4 linked regions of the Drosophila melanogaster genome follow. The protein of the gene in region 3 interacts with the protein of the main gene of each other region in a pairwise test. Each region holds a gene or a part of one and is shown on either strand. Other genes may lie near its edges.

What was found.
Region 1: the proteins of CG13775 (region 3) and bab1 interact in a two-hybrid assay, tested with the Drosophila melanogaster proteins (one large-scale study listed by BioGRID).
Region 2: the proteins of CG13775 (region 3) and CG15336 interact in a two-hybrid assay, tested with the Drosophila melanogaster proteins (one large-scale study listed by BioGRID).
Region 4: the proteins of CG13775 (region 3) and Atf6 interact in a two-hybrid assay, tested with the Drosophila melanogaster proteins (one large-scale study listed by BioGRID).

What each region holds. Positions count from the first base shown.
Region 1 is NT_037436.4:1,095,912-1,104,035, forward strand, and holds the start of bab1 (bric a brac 1), read right to left. Parts: upstream 5,179-8,124; 5' UTR 4,726-5,178; coding exon 3,190-4,725; intron 1-3,189. UniProt on the Drosophila melanogaster protein: Probably acts as a transcriptional regulator. Required for the specification of the tarsal segment. Also involved in antenna development.
Region 2 is NC_004354.4:8,144,171-8,150,434, forward strand, and holds CG15336 (uncharacterized protein), read left to right. Parts: upstream 1-3,778; 5' UTR 3,779-3,844; coding exon 3,845-4,324; 3' UTR 4,325-4,535; downstream 4,536-6,264. Other genes in the region: alpha-PheRS (Phenylalanyl-tRNA synthetase, alpha-subunit), read right to left, coding at 1-1,325; CG2129 (uncharacterized protein), read left to right, coding at 1,779-3,176; CG10959 (uncharacterized protein), read left to right, coding at 4,728-5,306, 5,375-6,127.
Region 3 is NT_033779.5:6,953,857-6,962,020, reverse strand, and holds CG13775 (uncharacterized protein), read left to right. Parts: upstream 1-5,070; 5' UTR 5,071-5,148; coding exon 5,149-5,403; intron 5,404-5,677; exon of another isoform or gene 5,678-5,713; intron 5,714-5,801; coding exon 5,802-6,764; intron 6,765-6,818; coding exon 6,819-7,436; 3' UTR 7,437-7,566; coding exon of another isoform or gene 7,567-7,628; 3' UTR 7,629-7,664; downstream 7,665-8,164. Other genes in the region: sip2 (septin interacting protein 2), read left to right, coding at 1-126, 191-430; Hmgcl (3-Hydroxymethyl-3-methylglutaryl-CoA lyase), read right to left, coding at 548-1,474, 1,534-1,578; Atac1 (Ada2a-containing complex component 1), read left to right, coding at 1,768-2,838; CG3430 (uncharacterized protein), read right to left, coding at 2,982-3,365, 3,432-3,675, 3,734-4,923; SA1 (stromalin 1), read right to left, coding at 7,567-7,628, 7,694-8,164.
Region 4 is NT_033778.4:5,141,736-5,149,675, forward strand, and holds the start of Atf6 (Atf6), read left to right. Parts: upstream 1-2,997; 5' UTR 2,998-3,095; coding exon 3,096-3,123; intron 3,124-5,430; exon of another isoform or gene 5,431-6,443; coding exon of another isoform or gene 6,444-6,465; coding exon 6,466-7,421; intron 7,422-7,940.

The sequences.
Region 1 (8,124 bases), on a different chromosome or scaffold from region 3:
GTATCTCGCAGATACATTCCGCTGCACTGCGGAAGCTGTGAGGTCTTCTCCGCTCGAAAGAGTGACGAGTGTAATGACTTTTGTCGATTGGGTTAAGTGGCTTGTTGGCTTCCTTCTCGAGCTGCGAGATTCCTTTTTCGAGCTGTGCATCTTTTTCCATTTTTATGCACGCCACTCGCTCCTCTTTCCCGATTCCTCACCTTTTCACCGGTTTTTGTTCAAGTAGCTCGAATGTGGCACGTTTAGCATTCCCCCTTCCCTTTGGTAATTTGTCTGCATCGTTTTTTTCTGGCAGCCGGGCTGCAGTTTTTGCCTGCTGGAAAAGGTAGCGACACACGCTAATCATGAGTGTGAGATTCTCTCAGACTCTGTCCCTCTTGGTCCCTTTCTCTGCGGATTCCCTGCATCTTCTCCCTGCGGTTTGGCCCTCATCTGTGCACTAATTGAGTGGGAAAGTGGCGAGGAAATCGAAAGGAAAGGCTGCGGGATGTGGCATTGATTACAATCAGTAGAGGAATATATATCTCAATTGTTCTCTGCAGTTGAAAAACGTCCAAGCCGGCCTTCAATGTTTCATAAGATGTTGATGGAATTTCAAGAATAATACGAATAATAATCCCAATCTACATAGTTGATTTTCATAAAATCACTCAGTATTCATTCCCCTTTAGAAGTTTTTCATTCGTCTTATTGGGCCTAATAAAAACTTCCTCTGCGCCCACGATCTGCAAAAAGTTCAGTGAACTGATCGAGAAGCTGGAGAGGAAACCAATAATAATATACAACCTCTAATGATGCTCACTCGCATACACAATCTAAATGCGCTGGCAATAAAATATGAAAAACCGAAGAACAAAAAATGCGTAAAGGAGAAAAAATGATTTTTAACAAAGGCGAAGGCAGACAAATAAAAGTGCAATTAATCACCAGAAACCGAGGGGCCCAGACATTCAGAACTGAGACCCCTGGACCACGACGACTGACACTTATCGGCTTTATCTGCTTATGGCGGGGAGCGGAGGAGGTGGAGTAAGTCGAGGTGCATCCACACAAACATATAAATATAAATGGAAGGAATTATAAATATTAAAGAAGCTGGTGAATCGCTGGCCGAGGATGCAGCCCATCAATATTTGACTTTTACACGTGGAAAAGTGAATACCTGTATCGAAATGAACGTGGATATATTTTCATGTGTGCTAAACAATGGAGTTATAATTTCAAAACATAATGCTCATTGGCTAGGCAGAATTTCATACTCATATTTTGTATATATCGAAATTACAAAGGTTTGCACATTTTTTTCGGGTGTATCTGTGGCGTTGCCTTGCTGCGATTGCCGCGAAGCAACGAAAAATGCATCAGTTTTTAATAATAAATGAAATGTGTGAATAAACGTTGGGAAATATATGACGGTGATGGGGAAATGAGGAGAACAATCGAAAAGGCAAACAGCGGGAAAGCATAAACACGGCCGGCAACACTAATACCCAGGCAAACAAACAAAGATGCAGATACAGATGCCGCGGCGGATTCAGATTCAGATGCAGATGCAGATGCAGATGCATTTTCCAAAGAATTTCTAAGCACATAAAAAGCAAAGCAAACGGTCAGTTGGGAAAATATTTAAAAAAGCATAAAAACAAAATATTTATTGAAAAGAGACGCTAACGAGCCAACGCCGCGGCGATCAGAGGCAAACAGACCGACAGACCGACAGACAGACGGCTTCAAAAATTGAGCACATGAGCAGGCTAATGCACATGCACATGTGTGCATAGCTGGCTATTTGATTAATGCACTCGAAAGCGACAATAAACACGGAACACGGAACATGGAACATGGCCAAGAACCGGCCAGAAAAGGAGTCGCACTGGGATCTCTTCTGCGCCCAGACAAACAAATATCGCATTCCGATTGATCCCGGACCGGGCAACTCCTCATCGAATGCATGTGACTCTGAATGGTGAATGGAGCTCCATCGCCAGAGATCTGGGCTCTTGAGTGAACGTCGTCGACGTCTATTGGATAAATAAATACAAATTTTTATTAAAGTGCGAATTCTGCGGTGAGCTCGGTGCTAATGCAGTCGCAGTCCAAATCGAACCGGTCGCTAAGCTAAGCTGACAAAAACTACCAGCTTACTTTAATAGTCGTAAATATTCAGATACAATGTTTGGAGTGAACTTATTGAAATATAATTATGAAGCAAAGCCGCATTAGGACTATAGATATCTTCATATGTATATTGCAAGCGCATCTTAAGATCAATATTTAATATTTTTTTTTTAATTTTCAATATCAGCATTTCAAAATTTAAAATATATTTTTATGCAATCATAATGATTCAATCTCAGAAAGAGAAAAATACATAAAAAATCCAAATAATGAATCTATCGATTTTAGCCCCAGATATTTTCTGTGCAGACCCATTCCGTCGTTGCCCTAATTGAAGCACACTTAGGGAACCACAACAAGTCACAAAATGCTCCATAGATCGAAATCAACCGCAGGCCACAGGAATTTCAATCACCTCTTGGTCACCGAAGCGTTCCGGTGCCTGCTCCCCGAGAACCCAAGAATCGGTGGATCTGACCTGAGAAGGGGTACTAAATACTATGTGGAGCAAATCTCTGCGGGAAGAAAGAGCGGCCGAGGAGAGCAAACAATGGAACGTGGAACGTGGAGCACGTGAATGCTGTCAATCATTCCGGGCAATGGCCACTCTGGCGGTGGGGTGGGGAGTTCCACAGAGCGCTGCGACCGTAGCTCCGCATTCCGCGCTGTGACGTCACGACACGAGGCGAAATGCCGCCGGCAGAATTCGCAGCCGAAGATTGAAGATCGCCGAAAGGCGCGCGAATCGTGAATCAAAACAAACCGAGGCAAAAGATCGGATAATGAATGGGAGAGAGATATAGACGGAAGCAGCGCTGCGACAGCGCAGTGACAGCGCTGCAGCAGCAGAAGAGAGCTCCACCGCGCGCTTCTCTCTCTCTCTCTCTCTGCCTCTCTTTTTGTAGAATTGGAATTGCAGAATTGAAGAGTCTTCTCTTAACTGGCATATGTACTAACTTAGAAAACGATTCACAACATATGAATAATTGAAAACAAAAGTACGAAAGTTATCTTTAAGGAAGATGAAATACAAAGATAAACGTGAAATTTAAGTTGCTTAGATTCACTCACCCTTTCTTCCTCTCGGATCATCTCGGCGATCCCTGGCTTGATCTCCAAGTCATCGGCGAGCGAGGATCCCCCGCCTGAACCCACTCCGCCTGCACCTCCTCCTCCAACTCCCCCGCCGCCCACTCCACCACCGCCATGGTGGTGCGGCGGTGGAGGCGGAAGGCGTGGCTCGGCGGACGGACCTGGTCCCAGGCCACTCAGTTCCCTGGCAGCGGCCATGGCGGCTGCTGGGCCGAGGGGAAAACGGGAATCTCCAGCAGGCGATGCCGGGTGGTGGGCTGATCCGGCGGTCTGGGAGGGATGTGGGGCGGGTGATGCGTGATGGTGCGGATGCAGGGGCAGGGGCAAAGGAAGCTGACCCTGCTGCTGTGCCTGCTGCTGCTGGGGGCTCTGCGAGTGAGGTCTCGACGATCGGGACAGAGGTCCTGGCGTGGCAGCCGGCGATGGCATGTCCAGGGCGTGGATGGCGGTCTCCAGGCGCCTCGTGGCTCCCACTGTGGAGCCACTGCTCATTGGTGGTTTGGGTGGGGGTGTCATCAGCGAACAGTCCCTCTGTCTCTCTCTTTCCTTTTGCTCCAGCTCCATCCTTTCGGCCGCAATCAGGCTGCTCAGTGGACTGGGTGGTGCGGGTGGATTGAATATTGTGTCCGCCGATGGCCACCGGCGCTTTCTTACATTCCTGCCCTGCTGCCGCTCCAGTGGGGAGAGCCTCAGCTCAGCGGGATCCCAGTCCGAAGTGCGTAGCTTCTTCTCGGGCTGCATGAAGGCCAGCAGCTCCTCGGCCTCCCGTTCCCTGTCGTGTTCAGTTCTGGAAGTTGAAGTGCTCTCCTTGGGCGAGGAGGGCATTCTCTCCGACGAAGCGGCAGCCGCTGCTGCCGTGGCCGCCTCCATATGGGTCACATCCGCCAGACCACGCACTTTCAACATCTCAGCTATCCTGAGCAGAGGACCTATCTGGTCCTGGCTCACGTTGATCTCGCCGCGATACATGAACTCCACAATGGCCTTGAGATCCGACCAATTTACGTCCCGCATGATCACAATGGGATGCTGGCAGGGCGTTTCGGCCAGAAGTGTTTGGAAGTAGGGCGAGCAGGCGGACAGGACCATCTTGTGGGCCTTCATGGACCGACCATCGCATGCCAAGGTCACGTCCACGAAGCACTCGTTCTGGAGCAGCTGGTCAAAGATGGTGGTCAGGTTCGTCTGATAGTTGTTCCAGCGCAGGCAGAATTGCTGGGAGCTGGAACTGGGCGAGGCTACCGAAGAACTCCTGCCCTGTGGCGAACTGACGGGCGAAGATCCTCCCCCTCCGGCTACAGCATGACCTTGACTCTCCTTGTCCTCGTCCTTGGCCCCGCCAGTTGGTGAAGTGCGATCCTCGCTTTTGATACGCTTCTCCTCCTGCTGAGTGGGCGAGCTTCTGTTACTCTTGGGCGAATCGGCGCCCGATCCCGTCCCTTTGCGCTGCCTCTGAGCCACTGGTCCCTGTTCGGACGCCAAGCCGACATTCGTCTCCGCCTGCGCCGACGCCATTTTGTCTGCAGCTGATCGTTGATCGTTGATCGTTGGATCACCGGCGATCGTAAACGTTACGCGATCGTTATTCGTTACGCGATTCGCTCTTCACATAGCGTTTAAGGAATAAGCATTCAAAAGAATCCGCGACAATTACGACGCTCAACTGAGAGTGGGCATGTACATGTGCGTATCTGTGTGCGTGCCTCTGTCTCTCTGTGTGTGTGTGTGTGTGTGTGTGTGTCTGGGCGTGTGTGTATGGGTGTTTAACGTATTCGTTACGTTACGCGCACTACGTGGCCATTTGGCAATTAGCCCGCCGCCTCGTTCTTTCAGTTCGATTCGGTTCTCGTCGTCGTGTCCAGTGTTATTCAGTGTGTGCTTTCAGTTCCGTTTCTGTTTCTGTTTCGGTTTCAGTGTTCTATGGCTGTATTGGCCAACAAACAGGGCCAAAAGTCTTCTCAGCACGAGCGTCTGAATTAGACTGAAATCGTTTTGCACATTTTGATACGGAAAAACTCAAAACAAACTTAACACACGACGACGACGATGGCCCACGACGACGTGGATGTGGATGTGGATGTGCGGCTGTGGCTGTGGCTGTGGCAGTGCCTGTGCCTGTGCCTGTGGAAAGCTGAGGGGCAACGTTGATGTTGCAGCAACGGCAACGGCAACAGCAGAAGCGGCAGCAACAGCAACATCAGCAGCAACTGCTACTGCTACTGCTTTGTAGTTGTTGCTCTCAGGCTGCGACTGAGTTCGCGACGAAGTTGCGAATAGTTCGCGAACTGCTCTGCCGGCGCTGCGAAAGGAAAATGCGACGTAGGCAGCGCCGCTTGGCTGAGAACCGACGGCAGAGACAACGACCGAAGCAGCGGCGAGCCCGTTGAAAATGGCTGAAAACGGCGAGCTGTAGGCGCCAAAAAACGCCGGCTAACGGCACCGCATTCCTTTGCTCCTGCGCTGCGTTTTGGCTCTCCTCGAGCTCAACATCGGAATCGGCTTCGCTCGTCCTTCGTCCTTCGTCCTTCGTCGGCCTGCTCGACGCACTCGAACTCGTCCTCGTCCTCGTTCTCGGCCTCTCGCCGTTGCAACCCCCAAAATTTTGGCGCTTTGCCGCCGCACAACTACCGTTGCGTAAAAAGGATGCGTCGCTGCAAGTGGCAAGTGGCAAGTGTGCGTGCGTGAGGAAACGGAAGTTGCCCCGAAAATGCAGCGGAGAGCGACGGCGATTGCGATTGCGATTGCGATTGTGAGTGCGAGTGCGAGTGCGGATTCGAGCTTAGGCCTAATATTTTTCGGAGGTGCTTGGCAGGAGAGGGTGTGGACGAGCCCCATCGACCAGTACCCCTGGCACAAAATAGAGGAACACATCTAGGTGGTCTTCAGGAATTGGGAATGCGGCGAAAATAGTGCTGAGTTTGCCGATTATTTAGGTGATGGATATTATATATCTTATTAGGGTTCTTTTAAAAGCTTAAATTTAAGTGAAAAAATTGAAAAAATTGAAAATTATTAAATAAAATATTTTAATTATTTTTAGAATATTGGAAATCGATATTCATATGTATGAATTGCTTGTAACATTTGTAGTATGAGCATTTTGCGAGAAGTGCAGATTAGTGATCATTAGGTCTTTCGAAGCACATTCCTCTCTCTTTCTATTCTTCCCAAGCCATTACTCTTTCTCCCTCACGCATTCCACCTCATCCGACTGAGAAACAAAACTCGGCTGAAAGATGCTTCATTAATTAGTTCCGTTCGAGGTGTACCCCACACAGCCCCCCCTTCGAAAAACCATCACGAAAAACTCTCTTCGCAGTCGACGTCGCTGCCAGTCGTGCATTGTAAACAAATGCTTAGGCGAAATCAAGATGTGCGGCGAATTGGCTCTCTCTCTTTCGCGAGAGAGTTGGCTGGCGCTTTTCGCCTAAGAGACGTTTCTCTTTCTTTCAGCTGCACCTGCAGTTTTCCACTAGTTTTTCTCGCTCTCTTCATGAGTAGTGGTGATGGGCATTTGGGGGGGTGCCGAGTGGCCGAAGGGGCGGAGGGCGGGGCACTATCGTTTCAGACTGGTCAGCCTCGGTTTTTTGCCTCTGTGTGGGTGATTCCGTGTATGTGTTTATGATTATTTTTGTTATTGCCTTGCGCATTTATAATATGCGAAACATAAAATAAAAAAAAAACACAAATCTAGCAAAAATAATAAATTCTTGCAAGTGCGAGCGGGACGAAGCTACATATCAAGGTGAGTGAGCGAGAGGTGGCGAGAGGGGTCCACTACAGCCAGTCATAAATTATGCATAATTTTTTCGTGACTGGCAAATGGCGGCTGCTTTTCATTTTGGTTACATTATAATAAACATCGGCCATGAATCGAATCGCGAATCGCGATAAAGGGGCACAAATACGCGATCGGCAGGTATCCATCGATCGGATTATATTCAGTATTCATCTGGCATCTCTGAATGAGTCTTTTAATGCCTTCATTCACTCGTATCCGGTGATTTAATGACGCTAAGTGATACTTTTGCCTACTCTAATGGCCAGCCCTTGAAATAGTTTTGGACTTTGTATCTCTACTATTTAATGAGTGTGTGTGCTATTAATTCATAAGTTATTCGGGCTTTTTAGGCTTTTGAGTATTTTGAATGAATTCAGGTAACTGAATATGGTTTTTATGTATTGGATAAATTAATAATAAAACTGATTGTTTTTCTATTATACTATATATATTATATATACTATATGTGGTAATGCTTGCACCACTTAGGACCCTTTGCAGATAGTTCTGCTTATTTTCCCCCTAAAAACCATATGCAATTAGATAACACTGTGTTTATAGCAACCAATGAATTGCAGCCAACAGAATTTGGATCAAACGCAGCAACACGAAAATGCATCACGCATTCTCTAAGTTGTTTGCTGTTGTGTTGCCCGCTATAAAGTGGAAAAGAGGGAAGGGGGCGGGCGCTGGGAAATGGAAAATTGGGAAATGGCTGCTAGGCTCGCGACTGCAGAACGCGTTTATACGAAAATTTATGTATTTAACTGGTGACGACGACGCTGACGAGCAAAACGATGACGCGGACGTGAAAGGACATCGGAGCTGTGGAGATGTGGACGCCGGTTCGTGGGATGGAATCCACTGGATGCTGATGTCCAAAAAAGCGACGAAAGCCTCTGCGAAAGGCCAAAAATGGGTGGGCCGGTGGCTCTGTGGGGTGGAGTGTGTGTGCGGGGAAAGATGACAACATTTGAGCCAAACAGACAAAGTTGCGGAGGGGGTGAGAGGTCGCCGTCTGACCCACACACATGAGTGAACGAACAAGCAAACAAACAAATAAAACGGTTGCCATGAGTGTGAATGCACTGGCAGAAAACCTAGGCTTCTGGTTGTCAAAATGTATAAGCTTA
Region 2 (6,264 bases), on a different chromosome or scaffold from region 3:
ATCTCCGGCCGGAAGACGCCCGAGTTGCCCACCTCGATCCACTTGGCCAGGCCGGGGTGATAGCAGAAGATCTCCATGCTGGGCTCGGTGTACGGATTGTACGCCGGCTTGAATTCAAGCTGCGTGATGCCCAGCTTTCTGAAGAACTCGTACAGCGTGCCAATGAGATCGCCCAGCGTCAGACCAACATCTGCAATCACGCCCTCCACCTGATGGAACTCCGCCAGATGTGTGGCGTCCAGTGTTTCGTTGCGGAACACCTTGTCGATGCTGAAGTACTTGGCTGCTTTGAAGCCGCCCTCCTGGTTGGCCAGCTTGTACAGCATCCTCGCACTCACGGCCGTCGTATGCGTGCGCAGTAGATTCTTCTGCGCCTCCTCCAGCTTCCAGTCGTAGCCGTAACCCTTCGATCCATAGCCACCCACAGAGTGCACCTTCTTCACGCGCTCCAGATAGTCCTGCGGAAACTTGTGGCTTTTGGCCGGATGATTCACGAAGAAGGTGTCGTGGGCATCGCGAGCTGGATGCTGTTGCGGCTGATAGAGCGCATCGAAGTTCCAGAATGACGATTCCACATAGTTGTTCGTAGGCATCTCTGAGAAGCCCATCTCGAGGAATATCTGCCGGAACTCAGTGCGCACTTTGAGCAAGGGATGGAGATGTCCACGCGTTGGTGGTGCACCCAACGCATCAAAGTTATAGGCCTTGAACTTGAGCTGGTCCCACAATCCATTTGCGAGCATTTCCACCGTGAGATCCGTCTCCAACTTGGTGAGAGTGGTGGCAAATTCAGGGCCGCGTGCCAGCACGAAGCTCTTGGTGGTCGTTTCCTGGAGGAGCTTGCGTTTCTTGAAGTCGGCCACCTCCTTGGCAGGCAGCTGGTCACCCTTTCCCAGCGCCACCTGCTGCAGTTGATTGCGCACCACATCCGTAATGGTGTCCACCTTGCGGCGCACCAGCGGCGGCGTGACGCTCTTGTCCACCAAAATCCAGCCGTGCGACATGGCTTTGCTAAAGCCCACTTTGGCATTTGCGCCACCGGCTGCCATTAGAGCCGCCTGGGCGATTCCCTCCGGCGGAACTAGGTCGTAGACCAGTGCCTCATGACTGCCATTCTCCACGACGGCGCGACCCTCGTCTGTGAGGCCCAAACTCTTGTGGGTGACCGTTTCCGCGGTGACTAGTTCGCCATGCGCCTGTATGCTCTTCAATGAGCCCACAATCTTCTGGTGATCCTCGGCAAAGAGTGCGGCCAGGTCCAGTGTGTCCGCCTTGTCGGTGGTCTCCAAATGCTGGAGAATGCGCTCCGTGAGATCGGGATGCATAGCTGGCGGTTCAATGGTTGTATCTTTCAAGGAAATTCGGAATTTCAATACCGGAATCTCGTGTTGCCACAACGCAGCCTATCGGAGCTATCGTTCTTCGATAACTGCGTCTATCGTTCGAAACGACGACGGTGGCTAAAAAATAGCCAATAAGCTTAAAATAGCTATAATTATATCTAGATATTGGAAATTTGTATAAATATTTCAGCGAATAGTAAGATATGATACTTTTGTCACTAACATTTCAAAAGTAAATGAAATAATAATAAAGATGTCTCATATAAAGAACTGGTTTCAACTCGGTTTATTTTTCCGCTTACCATCACAGTGGCACCTCCAATAAAAACAGCTGTTGACGCCAAGACTAAAAGTTTGCGTTCCAATTAGAACGGCGAATATATTCGAAAAAAGGAGCAAATCCTGGGGAGCAACGGCCAGGTGGGAGCCGCAATCATGCTCAAGTCCCTCAAGCCGGACACGTACGCCGGAATGGCGAACGCCAAGTGCGGCGAGATCTACTTCCAGAGCCTGCACAGCTTCCGCATCGACTGTGCGTTCTGCGAGATGAAGAGCTTTGTGTTCGGAGACTTCCTGCTCCACGTCCAGAACATTCACTTCGAGAACGGCCTGCTGAAGACGGAGGCAACGGACGCCGGTGCGAATCTCAAGCAGGAGCGGGATCGTGAGCGGGAGCCTAACTCGCCGGTGCCCATTGTGGCGCAGGTGAATCCATTTGCCTGGTACGAGATTGGTGGCGATCACAACGAGGACAGCGACGATGAGCGCGTTGTCCTGGAAAAGCAGGATGAGGACGAAGATGAGCGGCCAGGCAGAAGCATAATCAAGTGGCAGGACCATCAGTCGCTGACCAGCGAATCTCTACGTCAAGTCCGAGCCCTCAAGGTGGACTACAAGGAGGAAGACTCCGAGCAGGAGGAGTGCGGCATGGAGCTGGATCTGGACAGCGAAGGCAGGCACTCTGCCAAGATTCCGCACTCGTGTCCGCACTGCACAAAAGTTTACCAGAGCCGCAAGGTCCTCGAACGCCACATAATGCGCCAGCACAAAGACACTCTCTCGCCGGATGTGGACAGCGAGGACGCGGACTACGAGCCGCCCAAGGATGCGCCCGTCAAGTCCGCTGCCCAGGAGTACAAGTGCGAGCACTGCGGCAAGATCTACCATGGCAAATACAGTCTGCGTCAGCATTTAAAGCGGGATCATGACAACGGCGAGGAAGGAGGCTCCGCCATCTTCACCTGCCTGGAATGCGAGGCCCAATTGCCGCGCCTGCGCCTGCTGGACGAGCACATGGTGCAGGCGCATGGCGGCGCTGCCTGTGTGGTTTGCGGGCGGCGCTACAAGACGCGACACGAACTGAAACGCCACCAGCTCAAGCACACCAGCGAACGGAACGTGCCCTGCCCGCATCCCGGCTGCGGCAAGCGCTTCTTCACCATCCGTCATATGCGCAATCACGGCAAGGTGCACACGGAGCAAAAGAACTTCGTCTGCGAGAGCTGCGGCTACAGCTGCCGGAACAAGGAGACGCTGCGCGTCCACATCAGGAGCCACACGGGCGAACGGCCGTTCGGGTGTCAAGTGTGCGACAAAAGATTCCCCTCCCATTCCGGCCTGCGAGAGCACATGGCCATGCATTCCACGGAGCGACCGCATGTGTGCAGCGTTTGCGGTGCGACCTTCTCCCGACAGAAAGGCCTCTACCACCACAAGTTCCTGCACGCGGACACCAAGCAGTTCGTGTGCAAGCTGTGCGGGAATGCCTATGCCCAGGCCGCCGGTCTCGCTGGACATATGCGCAAGCACCGGAACGACGAGCTCAACGGATAGGATCCGGATCACCGAGGTCGTAGTCTAAGTTGTACGTTTTGTATCTTCCAATTCCGACGTTTAAGTTCAGGAACTCAGGCATAGGCTATATATAGGATTACCATAGAAATCAATGGTTTTTTGCATTGCTCCGGCATGGAGCGGGTATCATGTGACTCTTCGGTCCTCGTTTCACGGGTTTCCATCGAATTTATTTGACACGCACTGTAAATAATATCCCTAGTTTTAGATAAACTGAAAGTTTGTTAATCTGTTTCGAGTGAACTTAGTTTGAGGCAAATTTAATTGGCTCGATTGTAAGTACTAAGACTAAACTACATTTCCATGAATTTTCTAAACTACCAACTCAAATAATAACTAAACTTTGTTAAGGTTTAAACTATACATTAAGCACACAATGCTTCCAAGAACCAAATCGAACGCCGTAATCTCGGCAACCGGATGTGGCTAGTATTCGAATGGTTAACTTTTTTGTATTGATAAATATACATAACATGAATTTGATTCGCAAAAGAGAGCCCGCGTTTAAAATTAGCCAAGCGATTTGGTACCTTTGACAGCAATTAATCGGTCGACTGCTGCTAAAGCGGCCAAATGCCAAGATGGTATTGGATGGGGTGCGTCTAACAATAGTGCCGACGATTAGATTTGGCACACGCGGACCGACCATGTCGGCGGAACGTCCAGCTGCCAGCTCCGATAATCGGCGACTTATGTGCGAGTTCTGCGGCTATCGGACGCGCATCTATTGGAATCTGCAGATCCATCGTCGGCGACACACCGGCGAAATGCCCTTCAGTTGCCAGCAATGCCAGGCGCGTTTCCCGGCCAGCTATCAGCTGAAAAGCCACTTGGAGCGGCACTTGGACGCCGGCGAGCGACGCCAGCGGCACATTTGCACCGACTGCAACGTGGGTTTCTCCAGTTCGCGGGCCCTGTACCATCACCGGACGCTCCACGAGGATGGGAAGCGCTTCAAGTGCTCCCAGTGCGACAAGTCGTTCGCTCAGGCGGCGGGCTACGCCCAACACAAGCGGATTCACCGCCAGAGGAACCAGCGAGCCACCGAAACCACGGATCTGAAGGATCTGCAGATCAAAAGAGTGGTTTCAAGTGTTTTTCATCGGCGCGAGTTTAACACTGCATAAAATTCAGTGGAGTAATTAACATTTTATTTTTGTGTCATATTCAAATTTAAAAAAACCGGGTAACCGATTCGTTATTTCAACTGAAGTGCCTTATAAATAAAACAGGCAGTATCACTTTCTAAGAGTCTGGTAACAAATTGGTAACACTTGAGAGGAGCATATTGCTTAGCTATTTAATATACATAGATCAAATATAATTAATTTTGAACTTAAAATTTATTTTGTAGTTTATTCGGTCAAACGGTTAGTTTGGTTTGAAACATAGCTGAATGGCTGTGAAATCAGTGCTGGTTTGAGTCTGCACTAAATGTCTATCGAAGTCGATCGAAATTTTGTTTACATATTTTATTTTAATTTTGGTAAATAATATTGCAACAATTTTAATGTAAATAAGAATCAGAAAATGTTGAGACACTGCCTCGCCAACGTCGACTACGTCCGCCTGCACGCCCAGCAGCAGTTGCGTCCCAAATGCGGCGAGATCTTCTACGAACCGGAGGCGAATAGATTCCAACTGGTCTGCCTGCTCTGCGACATGAAGCACTTTGGATTCGAGGACTTCGCCCGCCATATCCGTAATGTGCACTTCGACAAGCAGGGCCGACCGCTCACCAAGACGGTCACGGGACTGGGCAGACTAGCACGAGAGGAACAGGAGTTCCAAGGGGTCAGCGCAGAACCATTGGCTGTGGACAGCTTCAAGAAAGAGTACCTGCCCAACGAGGATGTTCTGTCGGAGGAGGAGGACGCGGAACAGGAGCTGGGACTGGAACAGGACGAGGGCAATCCACTACGCATCATGGTGCTCGGGGGTAAACAGTCCGTGGACGAGGAGACCATCGATACGATGTGGCAGCCGGATCATGACAGTTCCTCCGCATCCGTCAACGAGGGGTGCGCTCTGGAGGCTCTGTTGGGCGTGGAAAATCCGCAAGACTATCAACCGGATGAGGACGGGGAGGAGCACCAGTCTGTTTTTAAGGTAGAAAAACTGTAGTACGTGCACTTGAAGAAGGAAATCCAATATCTGAATATGTTTTTTCCCTGCAGAAGCAGCGCCAACCAAAGGACTACAACTGCCCACACTGCGACAGGAGGTACACGACGCAGAAATACCTAAACACCCACCTAAAGATGAGCCATCCGTTTCCGCAGGCCTTCAAGTGCGTCGACTGCAAAGCCACCTTCGATGTGGACCGAGCATTGGCCCAGCATCGTCGCAAGGAGCACACGGAGTTCGCCTGCCAGCTATGCGACAAGGTGTTCAAAAGCTCGCGATCCCTTCTTCGCCATGTGCAGGGTCACTCCGGCGCCAGGACATTCAAGTGTGAGCACGAGAACTGCGGCAAGTCGTTTGTCAACCAGCACAACCTCACCTCGCATCGGCGGGTCCACAGCGAGGAGCGGAACTACGTGTGCGAGCTGTGCGGCTATAGATCCCGCTACCGGGAGGCGTTGATCGTCCACCGGCGCACGCATACGGGCGAGAAACCCTTCCAGTGCCAGACCTGTGCCCGCCGCTTTGCCTCCAAGTCGCTGCTCAACGAGCACCAGGCCATGCATTCCACCGAGAAGCCCTACAAGTGCGACAAATGTGATTCGGCCTTCTCCCGCCCGAAGGCGCTCTATCACCACAAGCATCTGCATTTGGGCATCAAGAAGTTCAAGTGCAAGATCTGCGGTAATGCCTATGCCCAGGCGGCAGGTCTATCCGCTCATATGCGAGCGCACAAGCTCCAGGCGTCCGTAAATGCGACGGAGGGTGCCGAGGCGGAACCCATCGAGATGCTTTTCACCTACTGACCGAACTGAGTGGAAACCTCCTGTCGCCTTAAGCTCTATTTCCATATAACTCAAGATATTCAAGATACACCACAAACAATGTTCACTGTTCTAGATTTTATAGATAGCTTATCAATGTTTATGGACACCCGACTCTT
Region 3 (8,164 bases):
GCACTTTTCGCAACAAAGGACGAAACACCCAAGTCCAGTGAAGCGGAATCTTTAATTATCAATGGAATCGATTCAGCCGCTGATCTGCTTCCCAAAAAGGCTTACATATCTTCCGAAATCAAGCATGTAAGTTTAAATTTATATATAAGCCATGATGAGTGAACGTAAACTAATACCTTCCATTGAACAGGTGGTTGATGAACGAACTCCTTTGCCCATGCCGAAGGTACCTCAAATTCAAAAATACCTCAACTCCGCCGTGGAGCCTACTGTTATGCGCCACGATGGCAAAATGAAAATGCCCGGCGAGGCAGTCCGCAATCCGTCGTCTTCGCATATCCCACGACGCGCCAATCACAGCCTGGCTGATCTGTCGCTCGCCTCAGGCGACGTGTCCTTATACACAATAAGAGATGCCCAAAAGTTTTAAGGCCCATAAAAGTACTTCACGCTCCTTGACTAAATATTGCAACGATAATAAATGTATTGTGTAACTAGTGCTAGTAAATGCCTTCGTTTTCGTTTGATAGTATCAATGCTTGCATCATCACTTAACTCGCGCCTGCGGTCCCTTCCACGCTCGATTAACCTTGGACTCTGAGGTTCTGCCCAGTTCGGTGCAGATGTACCGCCCCACTTGGATCAGTTTGTCTAGGTTGACGCCAGTATCGAGGCCCATGCCGTGCAGTAAGTAGACCACATCCTCGGTGGCTGCGTTGCCTGACGCCCCCTTGGCGTAAGGACATCCGCCCAAGCCAGAAACGGAAGAGTCCACCACCCGAATGCCATAGTCCAGTGAGACCAGTATGTTGCTCAGAGCCTGACCATAAGTGTCGTGGCAGTGCACGGCCAGATCTTTAGCCGGGACGACCTTGGTCACCTCATCCAGCATTCGGCGCATTGTGCCTGGAGTGCCCACACCAATGGTGTCGCCCAATGAGATCTCATAGCAGCCCATTTGGTACAGGGCTTCCACCACTTTGACGACAGCACTCGGCGCAACAGCACCCTCGTACGGGCAGCCAACCACGGTGGAAACGTAGCCCCGGACGCGCACACCATGCTTTTGGGCTGCTTTCAGCACAGGTTTAAATCGTTCGATGGCCTCAGCTGCCGTGCAATTAACGTTCTTCAGCGAAAACGCATCAGATGCGGCTCCAAAGACTGCCACCTCCTCGGCTCCCGCCTCCAGAGCACTCTCGAATCCCTTCAGATTAGGCGTGAGGACTGGATAGCTTATACCAGTCACTTTGCGGATTCCTTTCAGCACTTCGGCATTGTCGCCCATCTGTGGCACCCATTTGGCGCTCACAAAGCTGGTGGCTTCTATGGTTCGCAGTCCTGTTTCGGACAATTGGTTGATCAGCTCGATCTTGGTGGCTGCCGGCAGGAGTTTGGGCTCGTTTTGAAGACCATCCCGCGGTCCAACCTCCACAATTCGCACCTGATTGGCCGCGCTTGTAACCGCCGTGCGCTGTTAGTTTTAAAATTATTAAAATATTGTCAAGTGCGTTCGATTTTCCGTGAAATTACCTTTGCTGTAAGTGCAAGGATAGAGCGAATTGGTGCACTTATCATTGCTAAATTTGTAAATAAACGTTACGTATTCCGCTTCTTCTTTTTTCGCTGATAACAGCTGATAATGATCCAAGATCGATATGTTGCTAAATTTCGATAACTGTTTTGCTTAATGAGCTGCCATCTCTAGCGCAGAGGCGTAAACACATTTTTTGTATACAAACGGGTATTTGGTGCTAATTCTTTGTAATGGAAATAGCAGAGATATCTGCAGAAGATGAGGATGTGTTTCACTTTGAGACCGAGCACCTGGCCCTGCGTGGCAACCAGTGCTATACCAATTTGCTGCGCACTTTGGCCGTGCTGCAGGCACAAAGGATTCGGGTGCATCAGCAGATTGAGGAATTGGAAGCCACACAAAATATCTACTTGGAGAATCCGCAACATATGCTGGACAAACTGCGAAACAACGAGCCTTTGATAGCGGATAATTACATCACCACGACCGTTCTACCGGACTTGCCAACTCTGTCGCCCAATGACGAGGAAGGGGGCACAAATGAGACACCGACCGATGCGTCTTCATGGACGCAAGAGGCGAACAAGAATCGGGACAGGAGCAATGGACGGTCGGAGAATTTCAATCGCTTGTGGACCAACGAAGAGCAGAGTCGCTTGGAGCAGCTGCTCATCCAGTATCCGCCAGAGGAAGTGGAAATGCGCAGATTCGGGAAGATAGCGAAGGCCTTGGGCAACAGAACGGCACAGCAAGTGTATAGTCGTGTCCAGAAGTATTTCCAAAAGCTGCACGATGCCGGAATGCCTGTGCCCGGTCGCATACCCAAGCATCGACGTCCTGGTTTGAGTAAGCCGAAGATCAAACTTCGCAAGTCAACCTTCTTCCCCGCTCATAATATATCGCTACAAATGCCAGAGGACGATTTCACATTTGACGACCTGCGAATCCCATCGCCTGCGAGCGATATGCTCCTTATGCCGGCATCCAAGATCGAACCAAAGATCGAATCCGAGTACATGGATGCCGATCTGAATGCGGAGTCAAAGCGAAAACAGGAACTATGCCTTAAGCTTCTATCAGCCATTCAGGACGAGAAACGGGAAATGGAGGACGGATATGAGCCAGACTTGCTGGCCGCCAAGTGTGCCGAGTGCGAAGAGGCATCTGTGACCAGGACCCAATGGCGTTGTAACAGTTGTTATTGTTACCTTAATCTGTGCGGAGATTGCCTGGCCAGTCAGCTAATCGAAGGGCGTTTCGAGCATTTAAGTCATGAAGTTGTAGTGGACCAAGAGTCATGACGCTCCTAGAGTCCCATTTACTTGAGTACTAAATTACTAGACTTGCCTGTAAAGCTACAAATTAAATATAAAGAGAATAATTTTAAAAAATTCTATTTTATTTATAAAAACTTAATATTAAATGGTATAAAAGAGAGGCCCTCTTAATTGCGCAATTGGGCAGATGATTTCGGCAGAGATTGAATACGCTGGCGACGCTTTGCTTCGAACTCCGTAGCCAGCTGCCATGTTTCTTTGTCCAACGTATCCTTCCCCCGGGCGATGCCCAGCAGCCGTGAGAGGACCAGCAATCCATGCAGATCATCGGCATTACTTTTGACATTAGCTTTACGCATGTCCACGAAATCCTGCTGGATCATTTCAGTGTGCTCCTCGCTCACGTTGAAGCCGCTAGTGCGCGCTGTGGTCAAGTACTTGCGAAACTGCTGCAGACGTGATGGCTGCAGATAGTGGTGGGCTGCCTTTAGAGATTCATCAACAAGTTCCACGGCCTTAGAATCGGCATTAATGGGCAGCACAAAATCGCTCTGAAAACATATCATTAATAGTTTCTATTGGATATAATGATTATTTATATAAACTTATATTCTTACCGGCAACATACTTCGCCCTTCACTGAGCACGAGAACTGGAATATTTGCTTGGTAGTCTATTTGGTAATACTGAAAGTCGCACTTCAGTTCCTGATTATTGATCAAGTGCGCTAAATGCTGAACGGCATGAACACCATTGGCCTCCAGCTTGCCCTGTTGCATGCACGTCTCGTCGAGCACCAAATGCGTATGGGGAGCCAACTGTAGTACGCCGGAAACCAGCTTGTTTGTCTCATAATCCTTCCTGCAAGTACTCATTAATAGGTATTCAATTTTATACTATTTCTGCTTAGCCAACTTACTTTGGGGCAAAGGCTGCCGTGTTTAGTGTGACGAGAGTCATGGGCATGTAATGGCTGGCCGGCAGTAGCAGCTCCAGAATTTGATACAACTTGGTTGCATACGCCTCACAATTCTTAGGGAGATTACAAAGGTTAAGGGCGAACTTGCCGATGCTCTGCATCTCAGAACGACTGTAGACCGTAGATATTAGGTGGGAGAGCAAATACTCGGCAGCCAGATCGTCATCAAAGAGGCAGAGTTTAAGAAGCATGCGCAGATCTTTGTGCACAGCAAGGTGGGTTGGATACGTCTCCTCACATATTTCCGTTGGCTGTCGAAGGCTTTTGTCCAGCAGCGGATTGGCATGCGGCAGCACCTGGACTCCGAAGGCATGCAGGCGGGGTATAAGAAATGGCGATGGATGAGCTGCCTGCAGTTCACTCAAGTTTTCACAATCGTCTATTTCCAGGGTAGCGGCGTCTAGTGAAGCATCCACTGACAGAAAGCCCACAAAGTCGACCAGCGAGTTAAGCTGGTAGGTATCGAACTCCTCGTAAACCTTTACCATGCATGCCATGCTGGGACGATCCGGCAGAGGCGAGTTAATCAGGTAATCAGACCCAAGAACAGAGGATTTGGAGGCGCCGACTGGCTCGCTATCTTTTTGAATCTCTTTTAGGCAGGGTCGCTTGAACGTTGTTTCGCTCGCAACGTCCACATCCATGGCTTCTTCTTCGCCTACAATAGTCCGCTTCTTGGCTGAACTGGGAGATTGACCCAGACTGGCCAAATCGATCTGGGGACAGCACAGCTTCTCATGCTCCTTGCTCCAATCGTTCAGACCAGGCACAGAGACCACGAACATGGTACGCCTCTCTCCATGCACGTTTCCATCGGCGTTGTAGTCAATCACTTCGCCATTGGCTATTTTCAAGCAGTCCCTGTACTTTCCTTCCTGTACACGTTTGCTGCCGTCGGCGGATTTCACTTCGTAGCGCTCCAGATAGATTTCTGGGTCCATCATGTCCTGGATCATTCCACGAAAGCGCACCAGAGTCTGATCCTTCAGCTTGTGAAGAGGCGTGTAGTTGAGCAGGGGAATCGAGTGCCAACGACTGGGATCCTTGAGCAAGTCCTTGAGTGCAGCGCTGTCCGCTTGCTGGGCGGCCAGTTCATCGGGCGTGCTGGGCAGCTCCATCGCACAGGGCATTATCTAGTTAACGAATGAATTTGCAAATGCCTCAAAAACCTCGAATGCAAAAAACAACAGCTGCTTTGGCGCGCCAAAAACTGATTGCAGCATATTAGTGATGGTCATCGATGGGCCTATCGATATCTGCCAGGGATGTCGAACTCTGCCGCAGAACGGATGTAGAGGCGGATGTGGACATCCGCAAAAAATGTACAATTTGAGAATTACCAAAGAATTGCAGCGATGAGCAAGAAGAAAAGCAATGTGTGGCAGTACTTCTACAAGACATCCGGCACAGTGGCCACCTGTCTGCTGTGCAACAGGAACTACTCGAGGCGAGGACGCGGCACAACATGTCTGCGGAATCATCTGAAGAGCAAGCACCCACCGGAGTTCCTATCTCTATCCGGGGACATAAAGTACCTGGACCTGGTTAAGAGCGAGATCTCCATCGGTTCGCCACAGCACCCCACAGCCCAGCTAGAATTGAATCTGCACGTAAGTGGGATAGCATATAGATGTGCATACATACCTATGTACATGCATATGTACTGTGCAAGAAGTGTACCTTATGTGAAATCGGGGTACATGCCCTTCTAGATATTCTGTCATGTGGAGATGGTTTCCCCAAACTTAAGTTTCCATTCAAATATAGTTTCTTTGGTAGTTCATAAAGTAATTTATGCCTTCTCTTATTTAAAACTTTTTACTAATATAGCAACAGCGGATGCGGATTTTTATCCGCGTTTGGCTAGATCGGCAAACATGTGTTGTGTTTATAAAGTGTAGTTAAGGAGGTTTTAAAAATGTACTGTTATGGTCTTAGTATTATATTTTTATAAATTATGCGTTTTTCACTAATCTGATGCATTAAATTATTCTATTAATCATTTTAGGAAACAGATTCAGATCCATTGGACACCGAGGATATATCCTACAGCAAACGCTGTGATGAGAAGTTGGCCCTCATGCTACTAAATCACTCCTTTGAGTTCATTGAAGGACCAGGATTCGTAAATTTCATTAGGACGCTGCAGCCGCGGTACACGATTCAACCAAGGAGCTACTATGAGAAGATACTGTGCGAGGATATACAAAGGAAAATGCATCAGCATTTGAAGCAACAGGTGGATCTGCTGGATGCCATATCGTTGTCTACGAGTCTCTGGCGTGGTGACAAAGGCGAAGGACTGCTGAGCTTGTCCTGCTCCGGAATATCAAGGGATTTTCAGACTCACCGCCTAATGCTGAAATGCGAGGCTCTGAATTACGAAAGCACTTCGAAGCTAGCTTGTTGCATTCGAGATCTTGTGCCCAGCTTGGCCATTGAGGTGCCCAAAGAGAAGATACACTGCGTAATCAGGGACGAGATGACGGCGCTGCCAGGTTCCCTGCCCGATTGCAGTGTGCACCGCCTGCAGATGTGCGTTCGATTTGCTTTGCAATCGAACGAATTACTGCAGAACCTTTCATCCAAGTGCAAGCAAATAGTTGACCATTTTGCGTCGTCTAAGATGGCCAACGATCATCTGAAATTCATTCAAGAGATCCGCTTGACGCGAGACCCGTGCACACTTACACCTTACGATCCCTGTCAATGGAATTCCGCTTTTCAGATGATGAGCAGCGTGTTTCGAATGAAAGATGCTCTATCCTTGTACTGCGAAGAGTATAGTCTGGTCCAAATATATCCAGATGAATGGATAGAGATCGATTTGTGCAGCAAAGTAATGCAGCCTTGTGAAGAAACAATCAAGATATGGAGCAATCCATCTACGACCACCTCATCCGTAATCCCGCTGGTTGCCGCTTTACGGGATTCCCTCCGAACAGATGTCCATAACTTTGTCTCATCTGTGGTAAGTTGCAGTAGATAAAACCATAAAGTATTGTCTAATATTTCGAATGTCTAGACTATATGCAGTTTCGCCAGAAAGTTGCTTGAAGAACTGGAAATGAAGTTCGCCCACATCACTAGCGACATCAACTTTTTGATGGCCACATATTTGGATCCGAGATATAAGCAAGCATTTTTCACCGAACGTGAGGAGCAGTTGGTGGCCAATGAAGTTCTGCTTCAGCTCGCTGGAGTGCCAGAGGATTGCAATGGTCAGCCACCGCTGAAAATAATCAAAGTGTCATCCACATCGTCCCAGAAGAATGAATCAAAGATCGATAGCATTCTGGATAGCATACTGACAACTGGAACGACGAACACTCAACAGCCAAATACGTCAATGGGCTCCCAGTCTCAGATTAAGAATCTGCTATATCTATACAACTCCGAACCCAGAATCGATAGGAACATGGATCCCCTGATTTGGTGGAGGAGCAACATAAAATACATATCCTTGTATGGCATTGTTAGGAAATTCTTATCAGCACCAGCAGCAAGTGTGGTTAGTGAAGGCTTATTTAGAAAATCAACGCACTTGTATTTCGACATGCAGGCGGGCTTGAGCCCCGAAAGTGCATCCAAAATGTTGCTCATGAAGGCCAACTTTAGCTTTAGCAATTCGGAAATCAATTAGGATACAGTAATTTATATAATTTAAACGTATTTATGTACATAATATTAGCTTTAATCTTACAACTACTTGATTTTCCGGAAAATTAGATTTTGCACTTAAGCCGCGTGTATGGCTGATTGCCTGATGGGTCCTAGCCCCTGTAATCAGGATCATTGTGTTCCTCTTCGTCTTCCTCCTCCTCCTCTTCTTCATCTAAATTAAAAACATGTTTTTCATAATGTTGATTCTAAATAAAATGAAAGCTATGAAATTCTTACCATGATCTCGACGTTTACGTGTGTAGGCTCGTTTGCTGGCGACGGGCGCTTGATCAGTTTCGCCATGTAGCAAGGAATTGCGATATAATATCAGCGGCTGCCATTCCTCAGCTCGGCTGGATGGCATTGCGGGTGGTATTATCTTGTCCAGAAAGCTCATTATGACCTTCTTGTCTTGCTTCAGTAGCTTGTAGTTGAACTCGTTCAAAACCTCCAGGAAGAGCAAGCGAGTTGGAGCCCGCACCGGATCATCTGGCTCCTTGTTCGCAGCGAAATAAATGCCACCACGATGAATGGCGGCCACAGATTCGCGATTCTTGATGGCATCGAAACCAAATGTGAGCGCAAATCGCTTGGCCAACTCCTTGAGGTCCACAAACTCTTGCGAACTCTTTGAAACTATGCCATCCTCACTCTGCTCCTGCAGACTCTTAAAGACTGTGATCAGGCTCAAAAGGAGCGTCATAGCGA
Region 4 (7,940 bases), on a different chromosome or scaffold from region 3:
GTGGCTCCAGGCTCTCTCGAATTTTTGTTAGAGAGCGAGAGAGCGAAGAGCGCTACAGCGAACAGCTCTTTTCAACGCACAAAGTGATAGCAGACAACTGTATGTGTGCACACGTATGCTCATGCATTGTAAATTTGACAAAATATGCCCTTCACCTTAGAAGTGATCAGCGAAGACTCTTGCTCTGTCCGTGTCACTGCGAGACCAGTTTCCGGAAGAGTTACGGAGAGGTACAACCGTGTCTGTTGGTGCCTTTAGGTTCCTGTGGTCTTTCCACAACGAGTTTTTTGTTCCTGTGGGCGTGAGATTCTCGATGTACCTTAGTAGTGCGTCCGCTTTTGCGAGAATCTGCTTCTAATTATTCTTTGCGCCACGTGATCTGTGCTACTGCCACTCCCTTCGAAGTCCTCGTTTTTCAAGCACAAGCATTTCAATATTCATTCAACTTGTCTTGTTAAACTTTATCCTGCTTACATGGTTGTCTTGTGGAGTTAACGCTTTTACTGCTGCGAAAAGTATTGATTCTATATCACCAGCAAACTGATCAATGTCTTGCTCGGTTGCCAGGGGTTAAAAAAGCCGGTATGGGAACAACATATTTTTTGTACCTCGCCCAGTTGGTCCTATTGCTTGTAAGCCTACACGGTCGCTCCAAAGACACTAGAATAACAAGATGCGTAACGCCATACGATTTTTTGGCACACAATTTTTTGGCCGTGGCTCTAGAGGTGGCTCCAGGCTCTCTCGAATTTTTGTTAGAGAGCGAGAGAGCGAAGAGCGCTACAGCGAACCGCTCTTTTCTACGCATACAGTGATAGCAGACAACTTTATGTGTGCACACGTATGCTCATGCATTGTAAATTTGACAAAATATGCCCTTCACCTCAGAAGTTCTTAGACTTTAAATCTATATTATTTTTGATCAATTGGCACCATGCGAAAAATTCTTGTTTTGCATTGCCTTAACGTTATTATTATTTCAAAATAGATTAGAAATAGCCAAATCTATGTACATATTATCACAAAAATAAATTTTTATTTTTATTTTTAGAGTATTCATCTTGCGGCGTGTGAAAAATTAATAAGGCAATGATTGTTGAGTGCTTGTGTCCGCACTTCGTGCCTCAAGATATGAACAAAGCAAAGACACTAGAATAATTCTAGTTTCTTTGATATTACTTTTGCAATAAACAGTTATCATATTTAATTATTTAGTATATTTATTAAATCATTTGACTTAATATGATGTAACATTAACATTAAAAGTGTTTCAAAAAAAATATTTCGCTTTTAAAAAATTGTCAGATGAGAGACAAATTAGAATTAAACATAAATATAAATGTGTAAACGGTAGCTAATTCGAGCGGCGATTTTAACAAACAAATTTAAAAAGCTTTAAAATTATAATAGTCAGGGCGCGAATTTTTAAAAATTTTTTTATTTTATCATATTGCTAGGAAATTGGCAAAAACTACCCTAATATGTACCATGTAAATTCGTTTCTTCGATCAGAATTGATTTCGGCCCGAAAATCGTCTTCTAGCACAACACGCACACTTATACGCGTTCTCGTCTCTTGTTTTTACTCACACAAGCAAGCAAATTATATTTTTAGATTTCTTACGCTCTAAGCGGGAGTGAGCGGAAAGAGAGTAATTTTGGCCGTCACCAAAAAAGTGGCTGCATAGTGCCAAACCAATGTATGGCCGTTACGCATCTTGTTATTCTAGTGTCTTTGCTTTCTACCTCTTATAGTACATACATGCCTATGAATCTAGTATACCATTGCACTATGGGTAAAAAACCGGAAATTTTTGTATTAATGTAATATTTTTGTGATTGATATTTTAATGCTCCTTTCATTTTTTGATTTCTAAGTAACAAGATAGCATAAAAAAAATGTTTTAAACCTTTTTACGAGTTATCGTTTATTTTTGGCGCACTTTCAAAGTCAGCTGATTCAGAGGTGCTTTGAATTGCGAAAATGGTCGGAAAAAGTTGAACAAATGTGCAGCGTAAACATTGTCTTCATAGCAAATTTGGAGTTTATTTTTAATAATGGAAAAATGGAGCAACAACAAACGCGATGCAGACGCTATTAACAGTTATATTGTGGAAAATATACAAGAGAACTTTGAGACTAAAGAGCAAAAGATTACCAAATAAGCAGGCTGCAGAATAAGGGCATTCAACTCCACTTCTCGTACATGCTGCTTCATTTTCCGGAAAACAACGAAGCAGGCAGAAACGGCCTTTATATTGAAAAAAAGGGAATTGAAAACATACATAATATAAAAAAGAAAATTGAGACAAATCATTCTATTAAAATAAGTGCTGAAAACGCTTTAGCTTTCCCAATTGAACATGGATTTACAAAGTAGCAATATAATAATATAAAACCGCTCAATAAGCATAAAGGATGCGATATTTTCCATCCTTATTCAAAAGTAGCAGAAGCAAGGATGGATAACAAATATAAAAAAATTTTGACTTTTATTTCATAAAATTGGTTTTTGTATCTTGTGTCTTCACTTCGCTCCCACGCCAATCCTTCGCCCACCATCCATCTCCCTTGAAACCCGCTTTCATATGTATATAAATACATTTTTCACTTTATATTCAAGGATTTTTTTGGTGGGCGGAGATGAAGGCGTGGTCAGATCAAAAAATAAACAAAATCCGAAATTCTATTTAAATCTTAATTATAAACATAAAAAAAATCAAGTCGCTATCTTTATAATTGTAATTAATACCAAAATTCCCGGCTTTTTACCCATAGTGCATTGTACTCTACAACTAGTGGATATAAAGCTAAGAAGGTAAAATCCGTCCTCAGTAGATGGTGATTAATAGTTTTTTGTGATAGTTTTGAAACTACTTTTTTATATCGATATTTCTTAGGAAGTCTCAACCGCTCCGACGGATGTGAAAAGTACACTTACTATATAAGCCTAAAATGTGAAATTACTATTATAGTATATATTGATAATTAATATTTTAATGTGCCAAAACGTCGTGTATTTGCTGACGTTTGCTGTGGTAATCAATTCTGGTTCAGTAAACATATTCAATTCGAATTCTATGGCCGATTAGCTATGGACATCAATGAATATAATTTATACAGTAAGTTTCCTTCTCGTCAGTGACAAGCAAAGCAAGTTGAAAAAGTCTTGCCCTAATATCTATTATCAAATTCATCATATGTATGAATATGTGTAAAATGTGAAATGAGTGGCTGGCACCCTAATTTTTTCTGCTTTAGAATCAGCGAAATGGAATAAAAAATAAAATGTATATTAATGTATGTATTAAAAGAAATCGATTGAACAAAGGTTAAGAGAAAAACATAAAAGGGAAGTACGACATACGATATTTGAATAATAAACAACAATATATAAAATTAAAAGATTTCTTAATAATTAAAAATTCGCGTCCTTATCATTACTGTCTATCAATAAATCTTATAATTTGCTGACGCATTGCCATACGTAAAGTGATAGCTTATTTCGTGCAGTTTAAACAGGACAACCTTACAAAAACTTTGTCCCTTTCTTTGATAAGTTGATAATACCATATGTATCTTGCAACAGTGTAATTTTTTTCGATTCCTGCGTAAGTTACTCTTGTATTCTCAAATTTTTGCTATCGGAATGTTTAGTAAACAGTTAACAGCTGTTTAAGCTGTTTTTCAGACAATAGAGCGGCCCATTCGACAGTTTTAATTATTCACTGCAATTAAGTTATTAAATTAAATAGGATTTTTTTCGAACAACACTTTTAGTCATCCTTTTTAATTTATTAATGAATTATTTTATATTTTATAAGTATTTTTATTGCCTGTTTCGTTTCACCAACAGCCTTTGCGATAAATTTTGTCGACGTATGTATAATAAACAATTATAATAATACAACGTCGCCGCAGGAGTTTTGAAAGTATTTCATATTTTTTTAGTCTTGTAAGTTTACAATGGTTTGATATTTTAAATTTTTTCATTTAATTTTTTCCTGACAAAGTTAGCTAATTACAATAACAATGATATAAATAACAATTAAATAAAAATGATATAAGTAACATTTAACTACATAACAATTATGAGATCATCATCTCCTGGCTCTCGTCAAGGGTGACCTGTGGAGCCTTCTGGGTGGGCGACCTTTGTTTAGTGCCTTGGCTAGGATATTTCTATACCGCTCTAACGTGTCGTGGTACCGGCTAGAGTGCATGTTTATTGTCTCGAAGACAGTGGCTAGTTTGAGCTCTTTGTTGTTGTGTTCCTTACGAACCAATCGCAGCCGGTAATCATCCTGGCGATTCTGCTTTGGGGAGCCTGAATACGACGGATTTGGCTGTCGCAGGCCAAGCCCCAGATTTGATAGCTGTACCTCCATATTGGAGCTATAATTTGCTTGTAAATTATCACCTTGTTGGATAGTGACAATTTACTTCGCGAATTTATAAGCCAAAAATGGTGCACGCATACGCATGCTTCGAGAAGGTGAGTCTCCTATCCAGGATTTTTTTTTTAAAATTAATTTATTTATCAAGGCATACGGGGAAATCTTGGAGCCCCTTTGTGTCCTTCTTTTCTATTAATTCAGCCCATTTGGGCGCGTCGGCTAACTATAGTTAGCTTTTTCAAGTCTACAGTAATTTTACTACAATTACATAACAATCACATATAACAAATAGGATTTAAGATAAGCGTCAGCTTCTGCTGACCCTTGTCAAAGGAGATCGGGAAATGAGATCCTCGGTTACCTTCTATTGAGCTTCCTTGGTGGGCGAGGTCTGCTTAGAGCGCTAGCCAGCCGATTTCTGTGGCGCCCCAAGCTGTCATGGTATCTACTCGAGTGCTGCTTTATCTCGTCAAATACCGTTGCGACTTTCAGATCTCTGTGCAGGGTGTTGTTTCGCACAAACCACTCGCAGCCGGTGATGAGTCTTGCGACCTTATTTTGGATAGCCTGGATCCTTTTGATTTGGCTGTCGCATACCAAGCCCCAGATTTGCCACCAATACTTCCAGTTTGGTGCTAAGATCTGTTTGTAAATTGTCAGCTTGTTGGATAGCGACAATTTACTGCGCGAACAAAGTAGCCAATAGTGCTTCGCCACCTTAGCACGTAGGCGCGTTCCGATGCCGGTCACATGCTTGGCATATGTGAGTCTGCAATCCAGAAGCACTCCAAGGTACTTTGCTGCGTTCGGCTGTGGTACGGGGGCTTCCTCGATGTAGACGGGCGGTGGCGTTCTCCGTTAAAGTATAGCAGACGTTGTTGGATTTACTGCTATTGATGCCAATGTTCCAACGTCTTGCCCATTCCGAGAACCGGTCTGCAAAGTCCTGGATACCATCGGCTGCGTCGTGCTCGCATCGGGACCTGTAGGTGACGCACACGTCATCACGCCAACATTGATTTTCCGTAAAGGCTTACATCCGGCTGCGGCATGTCGTGGCTATACAGGCAGTAGAGCAGGGGGCCGAGGACACTACCTTGTGGAACACCAGCTGCCACTTTGTGCTCGGTGGAAATTGCTTAATGAAAGCGCACAGCGAACCTCCTTCCTTCCAGGTACGACTTTAGCAATCCCAAATATGGAGCAGGCAGCGTCTGCTTGATTTTTAGTTGAAGTCCAATATGCCACACTCGATCAAACGCTTCTCGAATGAAGAGGCTGTTACAATATTCCTTACTGTCGTAGGCAGTCAGAATTTTCTCGACGACCCGAGGGAGCTGCTCGACAGTACAGTGGCCAGCACGAAAACCGAACTGGTGCTCAGGGGTAATCCCCCGGGCTTCCATAATCCTTACAATCCGGACAGCAATCAGTCTCTCAAACACCTTAGAAATTGAAGGGAGGAGACTGATCAGCCGGTAGGAGGCGGGCTCCCTTTCCGGCTTGCCAGGCTTGTGGCTTGTGAGCACACATTCGCTGATTTGTCACCATTGATACCATGTTCCAGCGCCTTGCCCATTTCGCAAATGTTGATGCAAAGTCCTGGATGCCATCAGGAGCATCTTGTTCGAAGCAGGACCTGTAGGTGACACACACGTCATCTGCAAATGTTTCCATCATTGACGTCCCGGGTAGGCTGGCGTCTGACAGCGGCATGTCATAGCTGTACAAACAGTAAAGCAGAGTCCCAAGTACATTTTCCTGTTGTACTCCGGCTGCCACATCATGCTTATTTGAGAGAGACGAATGAAATCGAACTGCAAACCTTCTCTTTTCGAGTTTTATTTCTCCTGGCCGATTTCTACCGATATACAAAAAACAATTTGCCCATGCCTCAACACTGTCATGCCCACAGTTTTTTACTATTTGTTATTTTGTAATTTAGTTGAGTAACGGGTACATGATAGTCGGGATACCCGACTATAGCATTTTCTTATATTCCTGTAATATTTTTAAGATTAATAATATTTTATTCTTTAAGACAAATGACGCCATGTTTATTTTCAGACGATTTATCGCTGTTGGGAGAAGTGACTGAAAATAACTACGACAATAATATTGTACACGACATTCTGAACTCATCAGCATTCTACAATGATACATCGTTAGATCTAAGTGAATTAATACCTGATCTTCAAAAAGAAGCCTTTGGATTGCATTTCTCGTCAAACCCAATAACTTCAGAATTTAGCTTGAGTTCCCCGATTTCTGGTTTGAAACAAATTCCTTCAGCGTGTTCTGGTGAATTTAAAAGAAATGTAAATGACAATAATTTTCAATTGGATCTTACCAACAGTAGAAATGATTTACCTGAGCCTAATTCGTCTCCCACAAGAAGCTTAAATCGTTCAAATGTAAATGGATGTTCTAACGAAGAGGCGGTCTATCCACTCTTAGTCGATTCAGATAAGTTTGATCCATTTTTTGAACCTGCTAAAGTTCGGAGCCCCAACAAAGAATTCAACAGCACGATTTCTAATCTATCAGATATAAAAAACGAACTTCCGGAAACTTCCCAAGACTTGGGTTTTAATTCATATAACACTTCAAGGAATAATTCAACTTTAACCAAAAGCTGGCCAATAAATACTGAGCTGAATCTAGATAATCAAGTTCCAAAAACAGTTTTACCTTTGTCAAGGACAATTTATTTACCTTCACATGATTACAAAGGGCTTTTGCCAACAGTGAAATGTAACGGTGATAGAACCTTAAAGAAAAATGTTAATGTCAGGTCTAAGATTTCTAATATCGTTATTAAGAAAAAAAATGCAACTTTTATACAATCATTGAAAGAAAGCACTCCATCACATACAATGGATGATAAGATCTACAAAAAATATCAACGTATGATTAAGAACCGAGAGTCTGCTTCCTTATCACGCAAAAAAAGAAAGGAGTATGTTGTTTCATTAGAGACTCGAATAAATAAACTTGAAAAAGAATGCGATTCCCTAAAAGCTGTAAGTACTCTCTTTCAGTTTAAATAATAAACTTACCTATTTTTACTTGTCATTCGAAAGCAAATTTGGTAATTTAATCTCATTCCTTCTTAACATAATAAGTAGGTTACTTATTCTTAATTAGCCTTCCAATTTTCATATGATCTCAACATGTCTGAGAAAACGCACCAGTAAGTAAGGTATATTATATGTATTACTTTATTCCGGGATAAGCCACAAACAGCCGATTTTCGCTAACCTCAATACGAAATGGTTATTTATTTAAAAATTATGTAACACACTAAGAAGGAATGGACAACCCTATTGTTGCAATACGTCAAAAAAAAACACTATCGTAAAGTTTGACATGTTTTAGGTAATACGTACTCAGAACTTTTTGTTATACGAGCGTTATTTGTGTTGTTTACAGTTAGTTCAGAAATTCCTCTCACCCCAAAACGTGGATAAATTCACCAACAGCTCAGATCAATGGTTAATTGCTCAATAGAAGGCTCGTGTCGGTTGGTCGCAAAAAATAAG